Linked DNA regions of Oryctolagus cuniculus. The protein of the gene in region 2 interacts with the protein of the main gene of each other region in a biochemical or structural test. Links are inferred from orthologs where the notes say so. Each region holds a gene or a part of one and is shown on either strand. Other genes may lie near its edges. The genes, in order: FMR1 and NUFIP2.

Region 1 (4,569 bases), on a different chromosome or scaffold from region 2:
TTTTTATATCTTAGGGTACCCATAGGATTCTGTGAGTGATACATGTAATCAACTTTTACTAAGTGAGAGAAGTACTTAAGCATAAAAGTAGTGGCTCTGGCGATTACCAAACCCAATTTCAAAGTTTTTAAGAATAAACACCAAAGGGCAAAGAAATAGAACAGTTGCATCTTGGGGCTTAGATTTCATAGTTCTGTTAATACTGAATCCTAAGCTCGAGTTATTTTTTAGAGAAAGAATCAAACATTTTTCAGTATACAATCTATCCGTGGTTGATACTGCAAACTTGGACAATGTACTCAGAAGATGGAGAACTGCCCTTCAGAATATGGTGGTTCTGCCAGGCACAGCAACGTCTGAATTCAAATTACCCTGAAGTTGTTTAATCTATTTAGTTTCTGAAGACTTTTTTAAATCAACTTGATGAGCAATGTTCCATTTTTCTCTAAAAATTTTACACTTCTCCAGGTGATCATTTTTTAAATTGATCTTTACTTTCCATCCTTCCTGTCCATCCCAGATGAGGAACTTATTTTACTTTTGCTTTACTTTTCTAACTCAAAGCAATATTATAAGTTATATAAAGGTTTAAACCTTTTTTCTTTATCAAAACCATGTTTCCATCAATATAGACCATTTGAGGTTTTCTTAAAAAAATCAACCTTAATTTAAAAACCATAAAAAAATTCCCCTATAGTCATTCAAGTATTATATTTCCCCAATGGGAACTAAAGGACAACCCATTCTTGTTTGTTCACCTTCAAATTTAGTGACTCTGTTAAAAAATGAAACCCAGAAAGGGAAGATCAATGACAAAAGGCAGAGGATATTTCTTATATTCCAGACAGTTTACAAACGAAATCACGTGAGCCAAAAAATCTTTCAAGACCAGGATGTTTTAATTACTCTCTATGGCAAGCAAACTTCACTAAAAGAGAGTTAAGAGCCAAAGCTAATCTAAGCTGATATTACAGATTAGGGTACTACTTAACCATTACTATATGTATATATACATATGCATACATACATACATACACAGATATATGCACATATGTATACATTAATAGTTAATACCACAAAACAAGTGACTAAAACTATCAATCCAGGACCCAGAAAGATTCTACACAAACAAGCAGAAACTATGGATCACTGAAATAAATGCAACTAAAATTTTGACTGCAGCGTCAACTGAAACTGCTTTATATTGGTGAGATTAAGAACATAAATGCTGTGCAGTTTTGCTTCTTTGTACAGTAAGAGGTTTCTTTTTGCAGAAAGCATAGAACAGATATATATTACTCACTTACATGTTGAAGTCCAAACGTTTCCACAAAACTGGTTAACACATTATGTTTAATAACTATTTTTCATACTACTATGTGCATCTTCTATTGCTAAAATACTGCTGTCATGTGGGATATTTACAGAAGTTACATTCAAGATGAAAAGAACTTAGAGATTACTAGATCTACACAGTAAGTGCATCCCAATAAACACTACCAATACAAGAAAATACTTTTAATGTTCTTTTTAAAAATGTTAATAGTTGAGCTGCAATGATGTAACTTAAAAAGACAGTGAATCCATGAATGCCTTTTTAAAATCTCAATAGTTAGATCCACTGCAACGGTAGAGAATAAATAAAAAAAATATGGTCAAGTTCTTAAGAGCACAGAGCAAATATTTCCAAACGGTCTTCAAAAATTCCCTAGTAATCCTAAACTCTCCGTTAATTTCTGTGTGGTATATATTTGTCTTTGGAGACTTAAACAGGAAAACATAAGCAGCAGAACGGCTCATCTTTTTAGAGACTGAAGCGTGTGTATTCCTGAATTTACCTCCATTTATATAAAGGCAAGGGGACTGTGAACGTTCCCGACGATCAACTTCTTTAATGCATTGTTGCTCGGATGTTAGGGTTTTCCTGAAACTTTTGAGTGTAAAATCTCCTCTGAAATCCACAAAAAGAGGCCACTGAAAATCAGTTGCCATTGTGATTGAGTGCTGACTACCACTTCTTACTCTGTCTCTGCACCCCTTACTTGCCCAGAACAGGGGAGCTCTCCGAAGTCCCAATGATGGACTGGAAAAGAGGAGCCAAAGGAGACCTTAAACCCTCTTTGGCCAGGAAGGAGGCGGCCCGGCTGAAGCGCCCCCTGCTCCTCCACAACTACCCACACGTCAGGCCTGGATCCCAGAGGATATTTAGGAAAGGAGGAATAAGCCGTCGCCGTCACTTAGCGCCGATCTCGGCCCTTCCCGCCAGGATCCCGTACCTGCCGCCGGCTTTTGCCCCATCCTCATCTCTCCCTGGCGGGTCTTGTCCCCGAAAGGGCCCCCACTTCGCCTAGGTTCCTTTTCCTTCCCATAAGCTGCAGGGCGGAGACGGAGCGGGGCTCCCTACAGGCCCCAGGTCCGGTCTTCCCTCCCAAACAACATCCCGCCGAGCGCGCCTTGGCCCCGGGCGCGGCACTCGGGAAGAGGGCCCCAGGCCTGCCTCCTGCCGACGCCAAGAAGAAAAGGGAGGAAAGGGAGAACGAAGATGGGCCCTGCCCTGGAACCAAGTACCTTGTAGAAAGCGCCATTGGAGCCCCGCACTTCCACCACCAGTTCCTCCATCTTCTCGTCAGCTCTGCTCGCGCCGGGAGCCCGCCCCCGAGAGCTGGGCTGCGGGCGCTCCAGGCCCAGCCGCCGCCGCCGCCGCCGCGCTGCTGCACGCCCCCCGGCAGCGGCGCCGCCGTCACCGCCGCCGCCCGCGCTCGCCGTCGGCTCGCCGCCCGCTCTAAGGCGGCCCCTCACCGGAAGTGAAACCGAAACGGAGCCGAGCGCCTGATTGAGGCTGAAAGCTCGGCCCGCTCCGCGTGTAAACAGTGAAACCGAGTCACGTGACCGACACCGCCCCTCCCCCCGCGGGTTCGGCCCCCTCGGCCCCGCCCTCTCCCTCCTTAAGGGCCGAGGAGCGCGCACATGCGCACTGCTGGGAACCAGCCCGGATGCCGGGTCGGGGTGCGCGGGCTGGGCGTGCGCGAGCTCGGCGGAGGGCGGGAAGGCGCGAAGGGCGGTGACAGGTTGTGCCGTCTCGTGTGCTTGCTGAGGCCTCAGCGCCCATTACTGTAGAGGCGCCAGTGAAGTCGGAAGTCGTGAGAAAGGGCCGCTCGCAGCGGTCGACTGCATTTAGTTACTGGAGTTCAGCCTGGCTATGACTGGAGCAAAACGGTTCGTTTGGTTTGGTTTTTTATTTGTTTGTGGTTTTTGTTGGTTTTTTTTTTTTTTTTTTTTTTTTTTGCATTGAGCTGGAAGTGGAATGAGCAGAGGAGAATAAAGGTGAAGAATTTGGCGAAAACTGAATTTGTAACAGTGGCAGCTAACGGTAATCCAGCCTCATGCAACCTATAAAAACAGCGGGCAAACAGTAACGCCCTTGCTCCCACAAGAGACTTTGGACTGTCCCCTGGATACATCCTGTGCCTTTTGATGGGTAACACATTGCCTCAGGACCTCTGGAAATGTTAGCCTTTCCTCAATTCAGTTTCATAATTAATTTGACATACGTGAAAATAGAATGGGTGTTAAACACTGGTTAATTCCTTTATGGTTCATTTCTGCTCCTACTTATGCCCATCCTCTACTAGAGTAGACGACGGGTATGTGTGTAGCAGTCTCGCGACCTGTCCACAGGGACCAGTGCACATTTTCCTTGCATCTCTCCCCCTTGACCCTGCTCCATTAAAACCAAGCCTAATTCCTTATTCCTGCCTCTGCACTGTGTGTGTGAACCTGTCTCTCCCTGTTTCCTTTGTTTGGAGTTCTTGTATCCAACTGAGAAGTTTGTTGAGTGCCTACCAAGTACCAGGCACTGTACTAAGTGCTAGTGAAACATTGATGAGCAAAAAGAGAAAGAAAAGACTGCCAACATTGAACTTGGAACTATAGGAGTTGATTGACATAAGCAAATTATCAGAAAAGTAAATGTGGAGTTACAACTGTGATAAGGGCTAAGAATAATTACACCCCTATGATACTGGAACTGACCCAGTCTGGGATTGGGGAGGGGCGGGCAGCCAAAGGGAAATGGTTTCAGCTGAAGTGTGACAGGTGCGAGTTAACTGGCAGCACTTAGTTGGGGTAAGTGAGATGAACTTCCCCAGGCAGGTGCCCCAGAATGAGGCATCTTTAGGCCTCCGATTCCCTTCCCACCACCCCCCCAGCCAGAGCAACAACATTGCTGCTTGTGGAACTTCAGCTTTAAACTAGTAGGATAAGGACCACATTCCTGGTGGCTATACTAAATGGAAATGACCTACTGGACTACGGTATTTGGAGTACTCATGAGATGTGATGATACCACTAGCTCTGAAAGACAATTTCACCGTATGCTGGATGCAAGCAGAGGATTGTCTTTAGCTCCAACAAGGTAAAAGGGATATATTGATTAAAATGATTATGCCTTCCACATGTTAAGAAGTTGTGCAATTCTGCCAAACCTTTCAAAGATATCAGCTTTTCACAAGTCACACTCAACCTGGTACTGTTCCCTGAACCTATGATGACCTTTCATACCTTCATGTC
Region 2 (3,814 bases):
AAATACGCTAGTTCCCAAATGAGAAACACTATAGGCTTCCACTTATGAGCTACTTATAATCAAAACAGACAAAGTAAAATAATGGCTGCCAAGGCCTGGGAAGAAGGAATGGAGTTACCGTTTAATGGGCATAACCTTCGTTTACATGTATTTTTTTTAGACTTATTTATCTGAAAGTCAGTTTCAGGACTGGTCTTCCTCTTATGAGTCACTCCCCAAATGGCTGTAAAGACCAGGGTTGGGCCAGGCTGAAGCCAGGAGTCACTTCCAGGTCTCCCATGTGGGTACAGGGGCCCAAGGATTTGAGCCATTTTGCGTTGCTTTCTCGGACGCATCAGAAGGGAGCTGGATGAAGTAGAGCAGTCAACACTGGAATGGGAGCCCATAAGGCACTGCAATGGTGCCTTAACCTTCTGCGGCACAGTGCTGGCCTGCTTATATAGGTATATATTTTTAAAATTTATTTATTTAACTTGAAAGTCAGAGTTACACAGGAAGAAGAGAGGCAGAGAGAGAGAGAGGACTTCCATCTGCTGGTTCACTCCAATTGGCTGCAACGGCCACAGCTGTGCTGATCCGAAGCCAGGAGCCAGGAGCTTCTTCCAGGTCTCCCACACAAGTGCAGGGGCCCAAGCACTTGGGCAATCTACTGCTTTCCCAAGCCATAGCAGAGAGCTGGATCAGAAGTGGAGCAGCCAGGACTCGAACCAGCACCTATATAGGATGCTGGCACTGCAGGCGGTGGCTTTACCTTTTTTAGCACTGGCCTCTAAAACATTTTTGAGATGGATGGTTGTGATAGTTATAAGCCGTTACTTAAGACCAGTGAACTACACACATAAATGGTTAATATTATAGGGTCCCTTGCCACCCCTGTGGGAGACCAGGATGGAGTTCTTGCTCTTGGCATTAGCCTCGCTCAGACCTGGCTGTTGCAGTCATTTGGGGACTGAACCAGCAGATGGAATATTTGTTTTTCCCTCTCTGTTGCTCTGCCTTAAAAAACAAAACCTAACACAAAAATTATTTATTTATTTGAAAGTGTTAAAGAGATAGGGGGAAATCTTTTTTTTTTTAAAAATGCACCACTCCAGGACCAGCATTATTGTGTAATAGGTAAAGCTGACGCCTGTGACATCGACATCCCATAAGGGTACAGGTTCAAGTTCCGGCTGCTCTACTTTTGCTCCAGCTCTCTTAATAGCCTGGGAAAAGCAGAGATGGCCCAAGTGCTTGGGCTCCTGCAACCACATGGGAGACCCAGATGAAGTGCCCGACTTCAGACTGGCCTGGCCCAGCTCTAGTCATTGCAGCCTCTTGGGAGTGAATCAGCAGGCAGTTCTCTCTAAATAACCTAAAGAAATGCTCTTAGGGGCCGGTGCCGTGGTGTAGCGGTCATGGTTGTTCCACTTGTGATTCAGCCTGGAAAAAGTCAGAGTTACACAGGGAGAGGAGAGGCACAGAGAGAGAGAGAGAGAGAGAGAGAGAGAGAGGTCTGTGCCTGGGAAAACAGCACAGGATGGCCCAAGTGCTTGGGCCCCTGTATCCACGAGGAAGACCTGGAAGAAGCTCCTGGCTCCTGGTTTCAGTCTTGCACAGCTTTGGCTGTCACAGCCATATGGTGAGTGAGCCCTCTCTTTAATTCTGCCTTTCAAATAAATAAATAAATCTTTAAAAAAAAATAAAAAGTTATTCAGATGATCAAAAGGTTAACTTAAAACCAATTCAAGTAAAGGGAAAACTAACGAACCAATTGATCACTAATGGACCAATCAACACTTGGCAGCAATTCAAAGAACTTGCCACTCTGGAACCCAAACTGAACATTATCTGTTGTTCCAGGGGAAAAACAATCAATATCAACCTGATTCATTTTAATACACAAACTTACTAAAGAAAATCTTTTCAGTAATACCAGCAAAACTAAACACATTTGCATCTATATGGCACATTTAGTTTATCTGAATCACTGATTTTAGTTAGCCCATATATAGGGAATGCACACAGAATAACTGGAATACAAACTAATGCTCTCATTTAAAAAGGCCTACAATTACACATAATAAAAAAGAGAATCATACATAAAACAACTAATCAACTACCTAGTAGAACAGATCCCACAAATTTTGAGGTAGCAGAATATAACACAACCAAATATCTTCTCAGGCCTACACAATGACCACCACTAGACACTTTGGTAAACATTTTCCAATAACATTATTTGAAGGGCAGATGGCACAGAAAATGACACCCTACCCTCCCAGTAGAATTTAATTTAAATAGAACTAAGTATTTCTTTTTTGCCCTTACAGCCCTAAAAAAATAAATCCAGTTCCAGGGTAAACCTCATGGTTAGTTCCCAAGAGCAGAACTAGAGAACAAGTGAAGGCAGGTGAATTTTACCTGCCAGAATTCTTGTCCCTTAACGTCCATAAGGCAATTCTACTGCTTTCCACTTTTTAAGGAAAAGATCAATTTAGTTCATTGTACCAAATAAATGTTTTTGTTCACAGAGAAGGAAAGGTATGTAAGATTAAGAAATTTGCTCAAGTCACATAAAAAGCTTTGTTATTCATCTCTGATGCAATGATTTCTTCCAGGGAAAATATGGTAATTACCTCATACCCACAATCTGATATGCATATTCTTCCCAGCAGTTCCAAATCATGCCTAAACGGCCATGTTAAAAATGGGAATGTGCAGTATCTATTAATTGTGTCCATGCAGACATGGGTATGGGAACAAAGGTGGAAAAGGTATGAAGATTAAAAACCACTGTCCTAAAAAGCAAAAAGTTTATAAATATCATTTGTTACACCTCACTATTTGCATTAAGGATTTAACTTATTTTCTGGTTACTATTCAGCACACATTATTCCTTCTTATAAAAGATGTAAAGTTTGATACTCCATCTTTTTTGGACCCTTCTTCAAAAATACTGCTCTTATTCATTTTAGGCAAATTAAAAATATTAAATGACTTTGGAATTAAGCATATAATACAAAAAATAAGAGACAGGGAACATATACCCAAAGAAAAAAATTTTTGAAGAACTCATGAGATAATATAATGTCACCCTTCTGGGCAGGCACTGCCTACCTCTCTTTAATTTATACTTGTCCATATAAGATAATGTTTTTAAGTAGGAAAAAACGAACATTCATTCTTTCTCAAGTTTAACCATACTATTTCCAAAGACCCTGAATTAAAGAGTTTGATATTGGGTTCTTATCCACATTGTCATTCTCAATTAACCTTTGCAAAGCAGCTCATAGTTTTCAAAATTTACTCTTAATACAAATAAAAATAAATTAGACAGTAAGAATCTTTGTATAAGAAACAAATGAAGTTACCTTTAGTGTGATATACAATAGCAGCCCTCAGGTCAAAAGAACCCCAGCTATCATTCCTTTCTAGGCCTCTCTGGTATCTCTGTTCTTTGGCGGAGCCCAACAAAGTGTTCGTAGGAGAGGCCAGAGGATTTTGATTTTCTATCTCGTAGTCCTTTGAGAGAAACACTAAAGCACCTTGACTACTGGTGTCTGCTTTTTGCAGGTCACCTATATGACTGGGTTCCAAGGATAAGGCTCCACTCTCATTAGTAGTCCCAGATTTTAGAATGTTACTCAGAACTTGAGGACTAGTCCGTTTCTCCAGCTCATAAGCCTTGGGAAACACAGGATGCTCAGTTCCTGAGGGGATTATTTCAGCACCCTGTGAAACCAAAGTGGCAGGATATTCTCCTTGAAATGTCACCTCCACCACTTTATGATCTGATGACTTCCCAATAACAGTCTCAGGGCCAGCACTGGGC

The links.
Region 1: the proteins of NUFIP2 (region 2) and FMR1 form a complex in vitro, tested with the Homo sapiens proteins (2 studies listed by BioGRID and IntAct, with this or other methods). The link is inferred for Oryctolagus cuniculus from reciprocal best matches to the Homo sapiens genes NUFIP2 and FMR1.

The regions. Positions count from the first base shown.
Region 1 is NC_091453.1:126,438,576-126,443,144, reverse strand, and holds the start of FMR1 (fragile X messenger ribonucleoprotein 1), read right to left. Parts: upstream 2,842-4,569; 5' UTR 2,620-2,841; coding exon 2,569-2,619; intron 1-2,568.
Region 2 is NC_091448.1:44,719,098-44,722,911, forward strand, and holds part of NUFIP2 (FMR1-interacting protein NUFIP2), read right to left. Parts: coding exon 3,354-3,814; intron 1-3,353. UniProt on the Homo sapiens protein: Binds RNA.